Arabidopsis thaliana: one gene and its partners. The protein of the gene in region 3 interacts with the protein of the main gene of each other region in a pairwise test. Each region holds a gene or a part of one and is shown on either strand. Other genes may lie near its edges.

Region 1 (4,803 bases), 570 kb from region 3:
TTGGGTCTGAGGAGCTTGGTAAGGAGGCGGGTTTGATGGAGGTGGTTGAGGATGACTAGGCGGAGGACAATACGGCTCTTGTTGAGAAGAAAACTGCGTAGGTAGCTGAGGTGGTAGTTGCGAGGAAGGTGGCTGGGAAGGAGCAGCAGTGGAAGATGGTGGCTGTGGGAAAGAAGTAAGAGGAAACTGCTGCATAGGGACTGGAGCGGGCGATTGAGCAGTGGGATCAACGTGTAAAGAGTGTGTTTTGGCATGCTGGTTGGATACCTGATGCTTTGAAAGCTGAGCTTCGAGAATCTCTTGTTTGTCCTTCAATAGTTGCACACCACTCTGCACCTGCACACCATTCGCATAAAGAAGGAACTGAAGTATCAACAGAAAGTACTATAAGCCTGGTTCAAGAAAAGACATGTTCATAAATGAGAAAATTTCTGTATAAAAAAGATCAATAGTTGCCAGGAAAAGCTATAAATTCTAGTTTCGAAAAGCAATCAGCAAAGTTACCTCTACAAGGATATTTTTAAGCTGTCTCATTTTCCCATCAGTGCTGCCGTGACTATTGTCAACAGAAACTTTGAGATCATCCACCAGGTTCTCGAGGTTGTGGGTTCTGGTCTCCAGCTGTGAAAGACGTGCACTAACACCTTCCATTACATGAAGCAAGGTATCGGTATGTTTCTTCATTGTCCTATCTATAATCTCGGACATAATAGTCGTGTTAAACACATTTTGACCCTTGTCAGGAACCAACTTGGAAGGTTCAATAGAATCGAGAGATCCAAAATTCTGGCCGAATAAAAAAAAACAAATCAATCAGAAATAGACAAGTCCTCTTATAGGCTTATGATGTAGAATCATGTACAAAAAAAAAAAAGAGAGGAAGATTCGAGAAGTAGTAGTAAGTACAGTGTTAGGCGAAGTAGTGGAAACGGGTTTATAATCAGAGGCGGACCAATTAACCCTAGTCGTGGATCCGGCGAGATCTAAAGCCGAGTGAGACAATCGTGCGGCGGTGGTGGGACGTATGGGATGGAAATCATAGCTAGGAACGATCACTTCTTTCTTAGAGTCCAATCCATTATCGCCGATCACCTGCTTCTTCTGGTGATCATCGCCGTCATGATTGTTCATCAGATCGATGAAATCAGTGGAAGGTAGAGATGAAGAAGAAGATAGATCCATTATCTGCTTATCCATAAACTGACAAGTATTCATCGATCCACCCGACAATTTCTCCGACTCCCGAATTTCTTCTTTTCTTTCTAAAACCCCTCAGATCGATTTTTATTTTTTTATTTTTATTTTATTTATGTCATAAAATTGACCAAGTTGCTCATGTCGACGTACCTTCTGATTGGCGTAGAAGGTTATGGACCCTAAATGGGCCGAAATGTATTTAGAATTCAGTTTCCATCCTCTCCGTTTAAAGCCCAAATTGTGATCAATGACCTGTACCAACACTGACATAATAAGTAAATGGTATAATCAATAATGTGATCAAAGCAATGGGACCAACCTTATTTGTAATAGTATGAAATAACACGGAAAGAAAAGGGTGGACTCAGGAGCATACAATACAACATCCACATGTTTCAACGCGGCCCCTTTCATATCATCCATACAATTCTCCCCTGACATTTTCAAATTCCACACTAAAAATCAATTGGTGTTGTGGTCAGTAATTTGTCATGTTCGTACGTAAACTTTATTTTAAATAATTATTTATAGCGTTACCAACTTTTTGATATTATTATAAACGAAGAAAACCACGGCCCCTTTGTAAAGAAATGAGTGACCAAGTATGTCAAATCATTTCCATAACATTATTTACAGAACACACATGGAATGGAGAACATGAGAAGAAACAATACCGGCAAATACCACTGGCTCTTATGAGGAAAGATAAATAAAATCGAGCCAATGTTATATTGAAAAAAATGTCGGCATCGGCATGTGAGTTATTTTTATCATACTCAAAAACATTCAGATAGTAGAACGAGAGAAAAGTCACATAATAAAGACAACTCTTCTAAATAATACTAATATCAAGTTTGCAGTATATCCAAAAACAAAACAAACTTTTTTCTTCTTACATGAAAATGAGGAGGTAGACTCATGTAACATAACTCTTACCAATAGAGGAAGAAGAAAAAGTTAGCAAGAGTCGGTTACTTGTGAGAAATTCCAACAAATGCCGGAGGATTTATGCACATCTTGGAGCATCTGATAAGAGGAAAAAATTATGTTCGCTCTCACATTTCTAAATCCAAATCCAAGACTTCCATCTCCATTGTTCCTTGCCAAGTCTACTCCTGAATCAGCGTTGAGCAGAAGAAGCAGAGCTTTTTCATCTTCTAACTCTTATCCTTGGAGACCGAACCTTAGATTTAATGGCTTCAAGCTCAAGTCAGCTACAGTTCCGGAGAATGTGGAAGGAGGAGATTTGGAATCTGGAAGTTTGGTTAAAGGGTTGAAGCTAGGAGGCATGTTTGGAGTTTGGTACCTTCTCAATATCTACTACAACATTTTCAACAAACAGGTTCCTTCTTTGCTTCATTTAATTAAACAGTCCATTTCAATGCAAGAAGCAGTACTCGAACCTATTATCAGTCTTCATACAAGTATGAAACTTGTTCATTCATCGATCCAGGTACTTAGGGTTTATCCATATCCAGCGACTGTAACAGCATTTCAATTAGGGTGTGGAACGTTGATGATTGCTATAATGTGGCTCCTTAAACTCCATCCACGCCCCAAATTTTCTCCTTCTCAGGTAAATCAAATATTGATTCCGTCAAACCCTAAAAACAGAGAGATTCATTCAATTGTAATCCTCTCCAGTTTACGGTGATCGTACAACTAGCAGTAGCTCACACGTTAGGGAACTTGTTAACAAATGTGAGCTTAGGAAGAGTAAATGTCTCTTTCACCCACACTATCAAAGCAATGGAGCCTTTCTTCACCGTCTTGCTTTCTGTTCTCTTGCTCGGTGAGGTAAGCAAAACAAAGATACGCTCTGTTTCAGACTTAATCTATAACCTTAGATTATACAAGAGAGTTATATTTTCAGACATAATCTTTGAAATTTTGATTAATGTCCAGTGGCCGAGTCTGTGGATTGTTTGTTCGTTGTTACCTATTGTCGCTGGAGTCTCTTTAGCATCTTTCACAGAAGCTTCTTTCAATTGGTATGAACAACAAGAACAAGAACAAAAAAAATAGTATTCTTGATAAACTTTTGATGAAGTTTTAATTGATTTGATTAATTCATGGTATTGGGATAAACCAGGATTGGTTTCTGCAGTGCAATGGCTTCTAATGTGACGAATCAATCACGCAATGTCCTCAGTAAAAAATTCATGGTTGGAAAGGTAAAAGAGTTTGAATATAAGTTATCCTTATGATCTCAAGAAAGAAACTAGTAATCGAAATCTATTAATGTTTGTATATTGAAACAGGACGCTTTGGACAACATCAACCTTTTCTCTATAATAACCATTATCTCCTTTATCTTACTGGTTCCTTTAGCAATCCTCATCGATGGGTTCAAGGTTACTCCTTCGCATTTACAAGTAGCAGTAAGTGGAAAAGCATAAACCGATATAGCTAGATGATCTAAAAGAGAAAGAACTAATGTGTGTTTGTATGTGGTTGCTTGACAGACAAGCCAGGGTTTGTCGGTAAAAGAGTTTTGCATCATGTCTCTACTTGCTGGTGTTTGCTTGCATAGCTACCAACAGGTTGGTCCGTCTAGTTCCTCCGTTTCAGAAAAACTGTACTGAATTTTGTAAAGTCGGTTAGTGTTAGGCTTCTAATCAACACATAAAAATTGGGGTTGTTGTTGTAGGTATCGTATATGATATTGGAGATGGTGTCTCCAGTAACACACTCTGTAGGGAACTGCGTGAAGCGTGTGGTGGTTATTACATCATCCATTCTTTTCTTCAAAACTCCAGTCTCACCTCTTAACTCTATAGGTAAACAACTACTAGTAGTATATATTAGTAAAGGATTTGTTACACTTGTTCATTTTATTGAAGCAATATATAATCACTTGTTAAATAAACAGGTACCGCGACTGCACTAGCTGGAGTATATTTGTACAGCAGAGCCAAACGAGTCCAAGTCAAACCAAATCCAAAAATGTCTTGAATTTTGTATATAGAAGCTCTTAGTTTATTATTTATGCGAAAAATGTTGATATTTTTGTTCATCCATGTCGTTTTTACATGACACTATTAACTTTTGTTAAATTCAACTAATCTCATTAAATAATTCTATTCTTTACATGGAAATTATATAATGGGCCTAGGAATAAAATTGGAGTGGCCCAAAAGGGCCCAAAAGAAGGAGGCGGCTCATTAAGGTGCAGATATTTTTGTTGCGACGATGGATGGTTTTATAAACCTAACTAACAGAGACGGTCTAAAGTTGGACATCCTTGCTTTTGGTCTAACTTTCTCTCTCTTGCTTCTACGCTTCTTCTTGTGGCGTAGATTGTTATAGAGAGGGAAACCAAAAAAGGGAATCTCAAAAGCTCGAGTTCACAGATTTGACCCGAGTCTTTAATCCAATCTGCTGGTTCGTTTTCCACATTCAAACTCGACTCTTGAATATCAAATCAGGTACGCGTTTATCTGTTGACAAAATTCCTCAATCCTGACTTAGATTCCTAGAATTTGGTATTTAAGCTCTCTGTTTCAATTTCTAGTTTCTCTCTAAGATTGCGTCGGTTTGGTCGTGTTTAATTCTGATTTCTGATCGAATCCTTTTATTACGTGTTAGTTTTTTTTTTTATTGTTC
Region 2 (6,118 bases), 5.8 Mb from region 3:
CACTCTCACCTAACAATCTCTAAATAGTTACCCACCACAAGGACTGCTATTTATAATTGATTTATTATAATAGAGGTAAAAGATTTTAGAGTTAATTAACCAAATAATACATATGGATTGGTTTTCCTAAGATGCATTCAAAAGAAGCAAGGCACATGACTTGGGAGAAGATAGTGAAGGCACGGTGACGTTTTTTGAGGGTTCGTTTTATATAACTTTTTTCATTTTTTGAGGCAATTTCTTTTCTGTATGTTTAATATGTTTTATTTTTGTGAGATTATTATTTGAATAATAAAGGGGTAATTTATATAGCACAAGAATTGCAACCCTCTCAACTCTTTGTTTTGATTTAGATGAGTAATGGATTTGAATAAGTGACTGAAAGATTGGGTGAAACTTGAAAACTAATCAATTTTCTTTCTAAAGAAAAACTAAAAAAACATGATGAATAGTTTATAAAAAGCACAAGCACAAGAAAGGAAATAATCAGGTAAAATGTTACTATCTTCTTGCATCCTAACTAATTCCAGTAACTTGTATCTATTGACATTCCCAAATGGTTTTTTAACCGGTTTGATATATATTAATTTTTAAGACATATTCGACAATTCTTTAACAACCTTGAAGAAGGCGGAGTCACTTATTGAATCCATTATTCATCTCAATCAATATAAGGAAGTGGGTTTTGTTTACAATAATTGCCATTTTTCGATTGGATTTTGTTTACAAAACCCAATACTTGAAAAGACATTTTTCAATGACCTTAGATTGGATTCAATGTTGTGAAAAAAAAAAAAAAATGGATTCAATGTACAATTTTTTTCTAAAAATAAGTGAAAAGACAAATGAGTATTGAGATAACAAAAGTTCTTGCCAAGGTTGTCTAGTAATTTCATAACCTATGGTAGTTGTCAAACAAACTAATTTATAGTATCATATTAATTATAATAAATGTATAATCTTTAATTGAAACAAAACCTAATTTTACTCCCAAATTAATAGAAAACCTTCAAAGGATGGAAATTGTTGGACATGTATTTACATGAAACCAAACATGCAATATCAGTAAACCAACTTCATAGTCTATACTAAATTACGTACCGATTGGTAGATAGAAATAATGATAACTAAACTGATCTTAACGATTGGTATTGGAGAGAGATTTTCAAATCAAGAGTTAGTAAGAAAAAGAAAAAAAGAACTTAGAGATGTGGATCAAATATTTTGAAAATGATGAAATCTTATTAAAAATTGAAATTGATATACGACCTGTCCAGATACAATGAAGTTGTTAGGTTACAACATCAGCATGTTTCAAAAAGGGTCAAGCAGGTACATCCAATCAATTTATATAACGTAAATCCTGATTTTCAGAGCAATATTATTTGTATCTTTTATAACCTCCCTAGTTAATTAGTAATAAAATATTTAATTTAGTAGTATCACAAGATGGAGCTTTAAAAGTTATCTTTAATTCCCACTTTTGAAAATGATAACGTCCATAAATACATTTCAAAACGTTTTTATTCTCCCAATAAGATATCAAAAAGACAATATCAACAACAAAAAAGACAAGAAAAAAAGACAAAAAATAATGATAGATAAAATACAAAAGCAAAAGAAAACGTATAGTATTGCTTAGAGAAAGAACAAACATATTGTGAATTAAAAAGAAAAAAAAAGAGGGACAAAAGTAGAAAGACGTGGCAAAAAGCAAACTAAATTTCGACCAATCCACATCTAAAATCTAACCTTCTTCATCAGATGGAAGGAAGCTACTTCACCACCCGCAGATTCTGCCATGTGGCTTCTCTCTCTTCTACAGCTCACTTCTTCTCTCTCTGTCTCTCTCTAACTACATTGAAACCAAACCAGAGTGCTTCAATGTCATTGCTGTGATTCTCTTTAAGTCCAGACATAACTCCCATATCTTCTTCTTCTGTCTTTTTTTATTTCTTTGAACCGGAGAAGAAGAAGAAGAAGGAGAAGGATATATGGGAGGCTGTACTTCCAAACCTTCCTCCTCCGTCAAACCTAATCCTTACGCACCCAAAGACGCGGTTCTCCAAAATGACGATTCTACCCCTGCTCATCCCGGGAAATCACCGGTTCGTTCATCTCCCGCCGTAAAGGCCTCTCCTTTTTTCCCTTTTTACACGCCTAGTCCCGCCCGGCACCGCCGTAACAAGAGCCGCGACGGCGGAGGAGGAGAGAGTAAGAGCGTTACCAGCACTCCTCTCCGTCAGCTCGCGCGTGCTTTCCACCCTCCGTCACCGGCGAGACATATACGGGATGTTCTGCGGCGGAGGAAGGAGAAGAAGGAGGCTGCTCTGCCGGCGGCGAGGCAGCAGAAGGAGGAGGAGGAGAGGGAAGAGGTAGGGCTGGATAAAAGATTTGGGTTTTCCAAGGAGTTACAGAGTAGGATTGAGCTAGGGGAAGAGATTGGGAGAGGGCATTTTGGGTATACTTGCTCTGCTAAGTTCAAGAAAGGAGAGCTCAAAGATCAGGAGGTTGCTGTTAAAGTCATCCCAAAATCTAAGGTCATTTTTACAGCTTTACTTTTTCCAAATTCTCAAGTTTCCATCTTAAGTTTTCTGCTTCAATTGGCTCAAGTGCTTCATCATTGTAGTGATAGCTATATCTGACAAATTGAAGATTCTTTGTGTGTCTTGTCTGATTTGTTTAGTAGATGTTAAACTGTTTCAAGGTAGAAGAACAAACCATCATAGTCTCCTTTTGCTTCATGATGAACCTGTAATTTGATCATTACGGTCTCTTGAGATGTTTCTGTTCTTCTCTACGAGCTTACTGTCCTCTTGTTTGAGCCATCTTTTTGAAAAAATTGATAGCGTATGTAGACTTTCACGCATAGAAATTAATACAAAAACAAGTAATAGCGAACACAGATGAGGTTGAAGTTTGTCAATGACACTTATGTTTCATCCATGTTTTTCAATAGCCAAGTTTTCAATGGTTGTAGATTAGCATTGCTGACTTTTCTGTGAACATTTCTAAACGTTTTAAATTGGTCAATAAATTGGAACATGGACATTTGTGCTTTTGTCAATTGTCATTAAGCAATTGAAATTTTGATGGTCCTTATTTGATGACTAAGAAAGTTAATCATGTAATCGAGTTAGTTGGTGTAATATACAGATAGGTTTAGTGTTAGCTTAATCCACAATAGACTGTTTCTCATCAGCTTTGGTTTGGCAGATGACATCTGCAATATCTATAGAGGATGTGAGAAGAGAAGTGAAAATACTGCGGGCGTTATCTGGACATCAAAATTTGGTACAATTCTATGATGCGTTCGAGGACAATGCCAACGTTTACATCGTTATGGAGTAAGACAATCATGTGCTTATATATTCCTGTGTCATGTTGAATCTACTAGGAGAGCTATCAGATTCTTATTTTCCCGACTTGGCTTACTTCAAAATGTTTAGCTGTGAATAAACATTTACTTTCTTTCAACTTTCAGGTTATGTGGAGGTGGTGAACTTCTTGACAGGATACTAGCAAGGTCTGCTTTTAAAGATTGTTATGACATTTGTTAACTTATGGTCAGAGATCCTTCTTAGAGATGTTCTATTGGCTGTCTAACTATTTCAAATTTACTTCTCTTACAGGGGAGGAAAATACTCTGAAGATGATGCAAAAGCAGTGCTTATACAGATCCTTAACGTCGTAGCTTTCTGTCATCTCCAAGGAGTTGTTCATCGAGATCTAAAACCAGAGGTGAACCGCACTTTTTGTCTTTGCTTTTTCCTTTCAAAACCCAAAAGAAATATTGTCTTAGTTGAATACCAATCTCACATTTGAAACACTTTCATGTTTCAGAACTTCTTGTACACTTCCAAGGAGGAGAATTCTATGTTGAAAGTCATAGATTTTGGCTTATCGGACTTTGTCAGACCAGACGAAAGACTAAATGATATAGTGGGAAGTGCATATTACGTAGCCCCTGAAGTTCTACACAGATCTTATACCACAGAAGCGGATGTATGGAGCATAGGAGTCATAGCATACATTCTCCTATGTGGAAGCCGTCCTTTTTGGGCAAGAACTGAATCAGGAATTTTCAGAGCAGTTCTAAAAGCTGATCCCAGTTTTGATGAACCTCCTTGGCCTTCGTTATCCTTTGAGGCAAAAGATTTTGTTAAGAGATTATTGTACAAGGACCCTCGGAAAAGAATGACTGCATCTCAAGCTTTGAGTCAGTAATCTCTAAAATATCCACATCTTTCTATATTTATCTTCTGTTTCTAGCTTTTCATGAATCACCAGTTGAAGTTACTCCACGTTTTTTTCCGGTTTTTACAGTGCATCCTTGGATCGCGGGTTATAAGAAAATAGATATCCCATTTGATATTCTGATCTTCAAGCAGATCAAAGCATACTTGAGATCTTCGTCTTTGCGCAAAGCTGCTTTGATGGTACATTTTGCTTCTAACCTTTTTTACTGTTTCCAAACAACATTTAAGGATGTGTTTGATATTTATTACCTTTGTATCTAGTTTGCTAACTCTTTTATTCTCTCCAGGCTCTGTCCAAGACATTAACTACCGATGAACTTCTTTATCTGAAAGCGCAGTTTGCACACTTAGCACCCAACAAAAATGGCCTCATCACTTTAGATAGCATCAGACTGGTATGTGCCTTCTCTTCCTCTCTGTCTCTCTCTGGTAGAAAGCAAACAGCTCAAAGCTAGATTTATTTCTGTTGGACAGGCACTTGCGACAAATGCAACAGAAGCAATGAAGGAATCACGGATCCCGGACTTTCTTGCATTGGTATTGTCTCCTTTCTGTTCTTGTCCTTTTGCTTAATCTGTTTAAGATACAATCCAAGGTTGGTTAACGAAAGTTTGGTGTTGGGAAATGACAGTTAAATGGACTTCAATACAAAGGGATGGATTTTGAAGAGTTTTGTGCAGCTTCCATTAGCGTTCATCAGCATGAGTCTCTTGATTGTTGGGAGCAGAGCATTCGTCATGCTTATGAGCTATTTGAAATGAATGGAAACCGAGTTATCGTCATCGAAGAACTCGCTTCTGTAAGTTTATAAGAAATTCGACACTTGCTTCTGTCATGCTTAACAATTTATTCAGCTAATTCCTAAACGAAGGGAACATAAATGTTTTGTAGGAACTTGGTGTTGGATCATCCATCCCGGTTCATACCATTCTAAATGACTGGATAAGACATACTGACGGGAAGCTGAGTTTCTTGGGTTTTGTCAAACTGCTGCACGGTGTCTCGACTCGACAATCTTTAGCGAAAACGCGATGAGGAAAGTGACTCGGTGTTATAACGGATTCGAAAGAGGAAGAACATACAACTGCAAGAAGCAAATGGGTGGATTGGGGTTGGGAATTGGAATTTTTTTCAGGACCCATTCCTATGTTTATAGTGTTAGAAAAAGAATGCTAAGTTCCGACAAAGAAAGAGAGTATCCAGAAAAATCCGACAGGCCTGGAGAGTTGTATAATAAGATGATAATCCACAGTCGTGTTCTTCCAAATCATGGAAGACAGATATTAAGAACATCCCTTTCTCTTTTCATTTGGCTGTCTCCATTTTTTCCAGGAAAAAGATTCAGATTCCATTCACAATGTGCCACAAAGCAAATCATAAAAACCCATTCCTAAGTCACAAAACTTACAGTAACAGAGAGCTATTAATATTTCAAATTCGGAAAAACTTGCTTCTCAAGATTCCATAATCCATATCAATAGAAGTCATACATTTCATTCTCAAAAGGTGTTACAGAACAAACCATAAACCCATTCCTAAGTTACAAAACTGACAGTTGGGATGGCTAGGCAACAAAGTCAGCTTTTTAACATTTCTGAATCCTCAAACTTTCTTCTCAAGAGGATTGAATCTACAATGCTATCTAAAGTTCTAAACACTTGAAAGCATCTGCTTCTTACATGATAACAAAGATAGAAAGCTCCATTTTTTGACCAAGATCTGTTCATGTCTTTTACCTCGAGGAGAGTCTCTGGTGTAAATCTTCTGCCAATGCTTGCCTCAAACTCTCCCCGTAATAGTAAAACTGCCTCTCACTCTCCAAAACTCTTGCAGGCGTTCCAGCTTCATCTGGATCCTTC
Region 3 (5,354 bases):
AGGTTAGGAAATCTTAGATTAGCCAGTAGAAATTCCCAGCCGGCAGGGAATACTAGACCGTGGATATTTAAGCAGTTTCAACTTTCCACTACAATGAGCTCTAAATTAAGATGACCATAGACAAATAACCAAACACAAATTAGGGTTATTTCCCTTACCAAGATCTTCTGCCTTCTTCAGTTTCTCATTTATCATTTCTTGAGTGCGAGGATCCGGTGGAGGTAATTCGGAAGATGGTGGTTGAGCTGGAACGGGCTGTGGCAAGGATGCTCTATCTTTGTTGAAGGCTTCCAACAGCAACACCGCCTACATGAAAAAACAAGACAAAGGACTTTCTAGTTGACATAGGTAAAGTAAAAAAGCAAAAATGCTCATTAAGCCAATAGCGAAAGCAAATTCACCTGTTGGTCAGCTCTCTTGGTCCTCATCTCTTCGACTAACTCAAGAGCTCTAATCTTAAGATCCATTTTGCCTTCAAGATCTGCAAAGTGACATCAGAACTTTGAAAGACTACCAATAACCAGTCAAGAATTATTTGCAAAAACAAAGCCGAAACAGCAAAGTAATATTTGCTGGGCAATATTCTTTTAATTTTTACCGTGGATATCTGCTTCCTTCATCTTCTCTTTGATTTTCTCCGATAACTCGAGAATTTCAGGCGACTGCAGTTAAACAATGTAATGATGATAAACAAACCTGAGTGTTGCAAACTTAGAAGACACATAAACCAAATTTCAAAATCAAATAATCACCTGAGTGACTTCAGAGACAGAAATGGCAATGGCAGCTTTGGCGTCCTCTTCTTGAAGACGCTTAAGGGCCCTACCAATCTTCCTATCACACTCAACGATAAGCCTGTCTATGGCATCTTCCAATTCCCTGTCGTAGTTATCAACACCTTTTGCCCTTGCTTCTCGGTATCTAAGGGCGAGTTAAAGCAACACAGGAGTGGAAAGAGAACAACATGCCACTGTAGAATCAAACTAAACATAACAATGACACCAACTTTTTTTTGTAACTAATCTGCATAGGCTAGTCTTATATGCACTATCCATTCATTTAACGTATTATCTCAAGCAAAAACCAGGAAGAAGAGCAAAAACATGAGCAAAAAACAGATATCAACCCAATTAGTAAGTATGTTCAAATGTCAAATTCAATTGAAAGAGGCCATGGAAGTAGGCGGCCTTCATGGTAACCGTATAAGGTAAATACTAAACTTACTGTAAACAAAGGATACTCTTTCCGAAGCTGCAAAGAGTGCACCTTTGGGCATGGTCCCATATCCATTTTCTGATAACAACAGAAATGTAAAAGGAGCATCAGTTATTAGGCAAACCAAAGTAGCCATGCACTAAATTACTAGACAGATACTCATAGAAAACAGTGAAGCGATACAAGTTTCAGAATTCAGATATACTCTATAAGATACAAAACTGCACACTGTATCAAGTAACCAAATACCAGTTATCAATTCGAGCTAAAGCAGAAACACAAAAGATTAGCTCAAAAGTGAAATTAGGGTTTTTTTATTCAAAGAGACAACTAAGTAATAAACTGAAAAAATATAAAGGTAAGCACCGTCAATTGGAAGAGATCGTGAGGGCAGAGACCAGACAAGTAAAGACGACACACATCACGGTCGTAGTATTTGCGATTCACCTCCTGAACGTCGCCGTTTCGGTTAGCTCCCATGAGCACATCAAGCTGCTTCCTTATAGCGTCCATAGTCGTTCTCTCTCTCTCTCTCTCTCTCTCTCTCTCTCTCTCTCTCTCTCTCTCTCTCTCTTTCCTCGTCCTCTCTGCAAACAGAGATTTGGGGTTTTTTGATCGAAAGACAACACAATGATAGGAACAATGGCATTCGGATGTAATAAGATTTTGGTATATAAGATTAATTGCATACAGGTCCCTATATATTAATAATTTATGTTCTACTCCTACATTTATTTCTGTCAACATATTTTGCCCACGGGTAAGAAGACTTGGTCTCTCGCTGGTTGCTTCAATCCGAGAAAATGCTGACTCTACTCTTCTTCTCTCTCGGAGCGCTTCTTCTTATCGTTCTGCTCTTCAAATTTGCATTCGCCGATGGTAATAACTCTGACGATTTCTAATGCAATGTTTAACTTCTTTTATGTATAAAAGGATTGATCTTTGCTTTGTGTAGGAGATTTTACCTTGATTTCGAAGAAGCATGTGAAGCGTGAGGCCATACAAGGCAAGGTACTGGATTGATAGAGGAAAAAATGGAATTTAGTGGGATTGATTTGAGTTTTCGATTATTTCAATCTCTGAGCATTAATTCAGATTTCTTGGTTTTGCTCAGGTCGTCTGGATCACAGGGGCTAGCCGTGGAATTGGTAACGAATGTTTTCTTAGGATTATATATCTGTGAAGAGATAACTTTTATTGTGGCTGCTTACTCTTCATGTTTATGATTGGATTCAGGTGAAATTCTTGCTAAACAGTTTGCAAGTTTAGATGCCAAGCTTATTCTCTCTGCTAGGAATAAAGCTGAACTGGATCGGGTTAAGAGTGAGCTTAAAGGTACTTTCTTACACAATGAATCAAAGAAAGCTCTCCAGTTTACAATTGTGAGCTTTTTGTTGACACGTGATGTAACTGACTCTGTATTCTTCTTCTAGGTAAATTTGCACCAGAAGATGTCAAGGTTTTGCCTTTAGATTTAGCTAGCGGCGAAGAGTCACTCAAACATGTTGTAGAGCAAGCAGTGTCGCTTTTCCCTGGAGCTGGTGTTGATTATTTGGTTCACAATGCTGCCTTTGAGCGTCCGGTAAGTAATTTCCTTGCTAAAGTTTTGTATCTACTCAATAGAGAGTCTTAGGCTTTAGATATGTTTACTCAAGCGGGTGTCATCATCATACTCTTTTCCTTGCAGAAATCCAAGGCATCGGATGCAAGTGAGGAAACTCTCAAGGTACTAAAATTAATTGCGTAAAATTCGTAGGCAAGATTATTAATTCTTGAGGAAACTCTCAAGGTATTTTTTGTTTCTATTGCCATAGTTAGCCTGTAACAATTAGGACATGGGTGATTTTGATATTTCTTTCTGACATATGGTTAATCTATGATTTTGTGTGCAGACTACATTCGATGTTAATGTCTTTGGGACGATATCTCTGACAAAGTTGGTAGCTCCTCATATGCTAAAACAAGGAGGGGGTCATTTTGTTGTGGTACGTGGAGACTACTGGGGGATAGTTTTTGTTAATTTTGTGGAATTATATTTAAGGATTGAGCTTCATATCATAGTTTATATATGTGGATAACATTGCGTTTTATATGTTAGTTAATTGTTGTAATCACAGTATTGAATCTTGACTATATATGTTAAATCTGAGGATACTAGGGTATATAGACAATTTAAGGTTTCGTTCAGGTTAGTATTTACCATAGCTTGAATGTTATGGAACTCAGGCTATGATCATGCACTAATTGTCCATTTTATTGGGTTAAATGTCATGAGTAATAATTCACGTCAATTATGCTCAGATAAGCAGTGCTGCAGGAAAGGTACCATCACCTGGACAGGCTATATATTCTGCTTCAAAACATGCTCTTCATGGCTACTTCCACAGCTTGCGTTCTGAGGTATGTTAGAAGTAAAGAAACTGTTGTGCTTGCTAATTAGTTGGCAGAAATTGACTTATTGAAATCACAAGTGAAAATTTACAGCTACTCCTGAGTTTTAATAAGCTTCATATGTTGATTCGCTATGTTTTTTCATTTACATTTTATTGTTGAAAATAGCACAATCAATTACAAAAACTAACAGTTAGTTTACAATCATCTGTGCATGGTTTCAGTTCTGTCAGAAGGGAATCAAGGTTACCGTCGTTTGTCCTGGTCCAATAGAAACCTGGAATGGTACAGGAACATCAACTTCGGAAGACAGCAAGTCTCCTGAGGTTGGTACTTATTATGATTGTGATTATTTGATTAAGTTGTGAGCAGCAAGTACTTCTCCCATTGCTTGATTCATTATTTCCTTGTAGATACACGTAGAATCATATTCTTTGTCAACATTTGGAGATTCTAACTTCAGCTCCTTGCTCAACTTGATTTCTCTCAAGCATCTATTCTCTTTGCTACGCAGAAACGTGTGTCATCTGAACGATGTGCAGAGCTGACTATAATCGCTGCATCTCATAACTTGAAGGAAGCTTGGATTTCATATCAGGTACATCTTTATAAATATTGCATATGTGATACTCGGTTTAGATGTCTGATATATAAGTTTCTTTTTCACTGTTTTTCAGCCAGTACTACTCGTGATGTATCTAGTGCAGTACATGCCTTCCCTTGGCTTCTGGCTCATGGACAAGGTACTTTGCTCATCCATTAATTTTCTTCAAAAGTTACCGGTATGAGATGTCGTTTTGTTTCCATTATAATGTGACAAACACATCTGACAAAGAGAAAACAGGGGCAGTTATTACTCTGTTGAAAGCAGTCTTTTGATTAAAATGAACGGCTTGCAGGTTGGAGGAAAGCGTGTGGAGGTCGCGGAAAAGAAAGGCAACACATACTCGTGGGATTTACTGTTCGGGAAGAAGACTAAAACAAACTGAAGCTGATTCTCTAGAAGATACACATAGATGTGGTTGGTTGAGCCTTAGTCCGTAAATGTGGTTGGTGTTTGTTTGCTAGTTTGATTGTTAAATAACTACCAAAGCGTCGAAAAATGTTTTGTTGCCTTGTGAGGTGCTCAATAAGTAAGAAAAGATGTGATCTTCTGTGATTTAGCTACTCGTACACACAAACAAACACAAATTTAACATCATCCGAGTGTAGAGAAATCAAAACCCTTCAAATTGAGTAGTTTCTCTGCGCACAAAGGTTTTCAGATGCAGCTACGAGGTAACCCCAGCTGTGTATTCATCCAACAGGCTTTTGATCCCACTGGACTTCAGTTCCTACAAAAGAAGAACCGAAAAGAAAGCTATATGATGCATACATTGAAGACTAACGAAAGCTTCTGGAGTTTGACTTGCTGCCAGAAACTCACAGACAATACTCCTGCCAAAGCTGCAGAAGGCTGATTAGCTGGTTTTGCAACACGAATAGCTACAACACCGTTCATTCTTTCCTTCTCTTCAGAATAAAAGTTTCGGTAAACTTGAACACCTGCAGATAGAACATCATTTCAGGTTAGAACAAAGTCCACATAGCAAAAGAGACGCTTTCCAAACGTTCTATGTTATGGTAAAGATCTTCAAACCTTCTTCTATACTTTCAACTCCAGGAAGAACTTTGGCAAGACCCTCCACTTTCAGCATTTCTGAGAATGAAGTATAACGGTGAACGTCCTGCCCTCATCAAAATGGTTA

Evidence for each region.
Region 1: the proteins of AT3G03330 (region 3) and PPT2 interact in a protein complementation assay, tested with the Arabidopsis thaliana proteins (one large-scale study listed by BioGRID).
Region 2: the proteins of AT3G03330 (region 3) and AT3G19100 interact in a protein complementation assay, tested with the Arabidopsis thaliana proteins (one large-scale study listed by BioGRID).

What each region holds. Positions count from the first base shown.
Region 1 is NC_003074.8:216,296-221,098, reverse strand, and holds PPT2 (phosphoenolpyruvate (pep)/phosphate translocator 2), read left to right. Parts: upstream 1-1,962; 5' UTR 1,963-2,242; coding exon 2,243-2,539; intron 2,540-2,650; coding exon 2,651-2,773; intron 2,774-2,841; coding exon 2,842-2,994; intron 2,995-3,102; coding exon 3,103-3,188; intron 3,189-3,289; coding exon 3,290-3,371; intron 3,372-3,458; coding exon 3,459-3,578; intron 3,579-3,662; coding exon 3,663-3,740; intron 3,741-3,847; coding exon 3,848-3,977; intron 3,978-4,069; coding exon 4,070-4,152; 3' UTR 4,153-4,294; downstream 4,295-4,803. Other genes in the region: AT3G01560 (proline-rich receptor-like kinase, putative (DUF1421)), read right to left, coding at 1-336, 505-786, 907-1,215. UniProt on the Arabidopsis thaliana protein: Phosphoenolpyruvate/phosphate translocator that transports phosphoenolpyruvate (PEP), 2-phosphoglycerate and 3-phosphoglycerate.
Region 2 is NC_003074.8:6,603,687-6,609,804, forward strand, and holds AT3G19100 (Protein kinase superfamily protein), read left to right. Parts: upstream 1-1,609; 5' UTR 1,610-1,994; coding exon 1,995-2,540; intron 2,541-3,216; coding exon 3,217-3,347; intron 3,348-3,484; coding exon 3,485-3,526; intron 3,527-3,632; coding exon 3,633-3,741; intron 3,742-3,843; coding exon 3,844-4,219; intron 4,220-4,326; coding exon 4,327-4,439; intron 4,440-4,546; coding exon 4,547-4,654; intron 4,655-4,733; coding exon 4,734-4,796; intron 4,797-4,890; coding exon 4,891-5,058; intron 5,059-5,150; coding exon 5,151-5,294; 3' UTR 5,295-5,609; downstream 5,610-6,118. Other genes in the region: LARP6c (RNA-binding protein), read left to right, coding at 1-23; AT3G19120 (PIF / Ping-Pong family of plant transposase), read right to left, coding at 5,992-6,118.
Region 3 is NC_003074.8:782,813-788,166, reverse strand, and holds AT3G03330 (NAD(P)-binding Rossmann-fold superfamily protein), read left to right. Parts: upstream 1-1,962; 5' UTR 1,963-2,018; coding exon 2,019-2,094; intron 2,095-2,170; coding exon 2,171-2,226; intron 2,227-2,329; coding exon 2,330-2,363; intron 2,364-2,451; coding exon 2,452-2,550; intron 2,551-2,648; coding exon 2,649-2,797; intron 2,798-2,902; coding exon 2,903-2,941; intron 2,942-3,107; coding exon 3,108-3,200; intron 3,201-3,516; coding exon 3,517-3,615; intron 3,616-3,830; coding exon 3,831-3,932; intron 3,933-4,120; coding exon 4,121-4,204; intron 4,205-4,283; coding exon 4,284-4,349; intron 4,350-4,505; coding exon 4,506-4,595; 3' UTR 4,596-4,835; downstream 4,836-5,354. Other genes in the region: UNE6 (LUC7 related protein), read right to left, coding at 159-306, 402-481, 599-662, 753-921, 1,241-1,293, 1,582-1,962; AT3G03320 (RNA-binding ASCH domain protein), read right to left, coding at 4,878-4,940, 5,033-5,151, 5,246-5,333.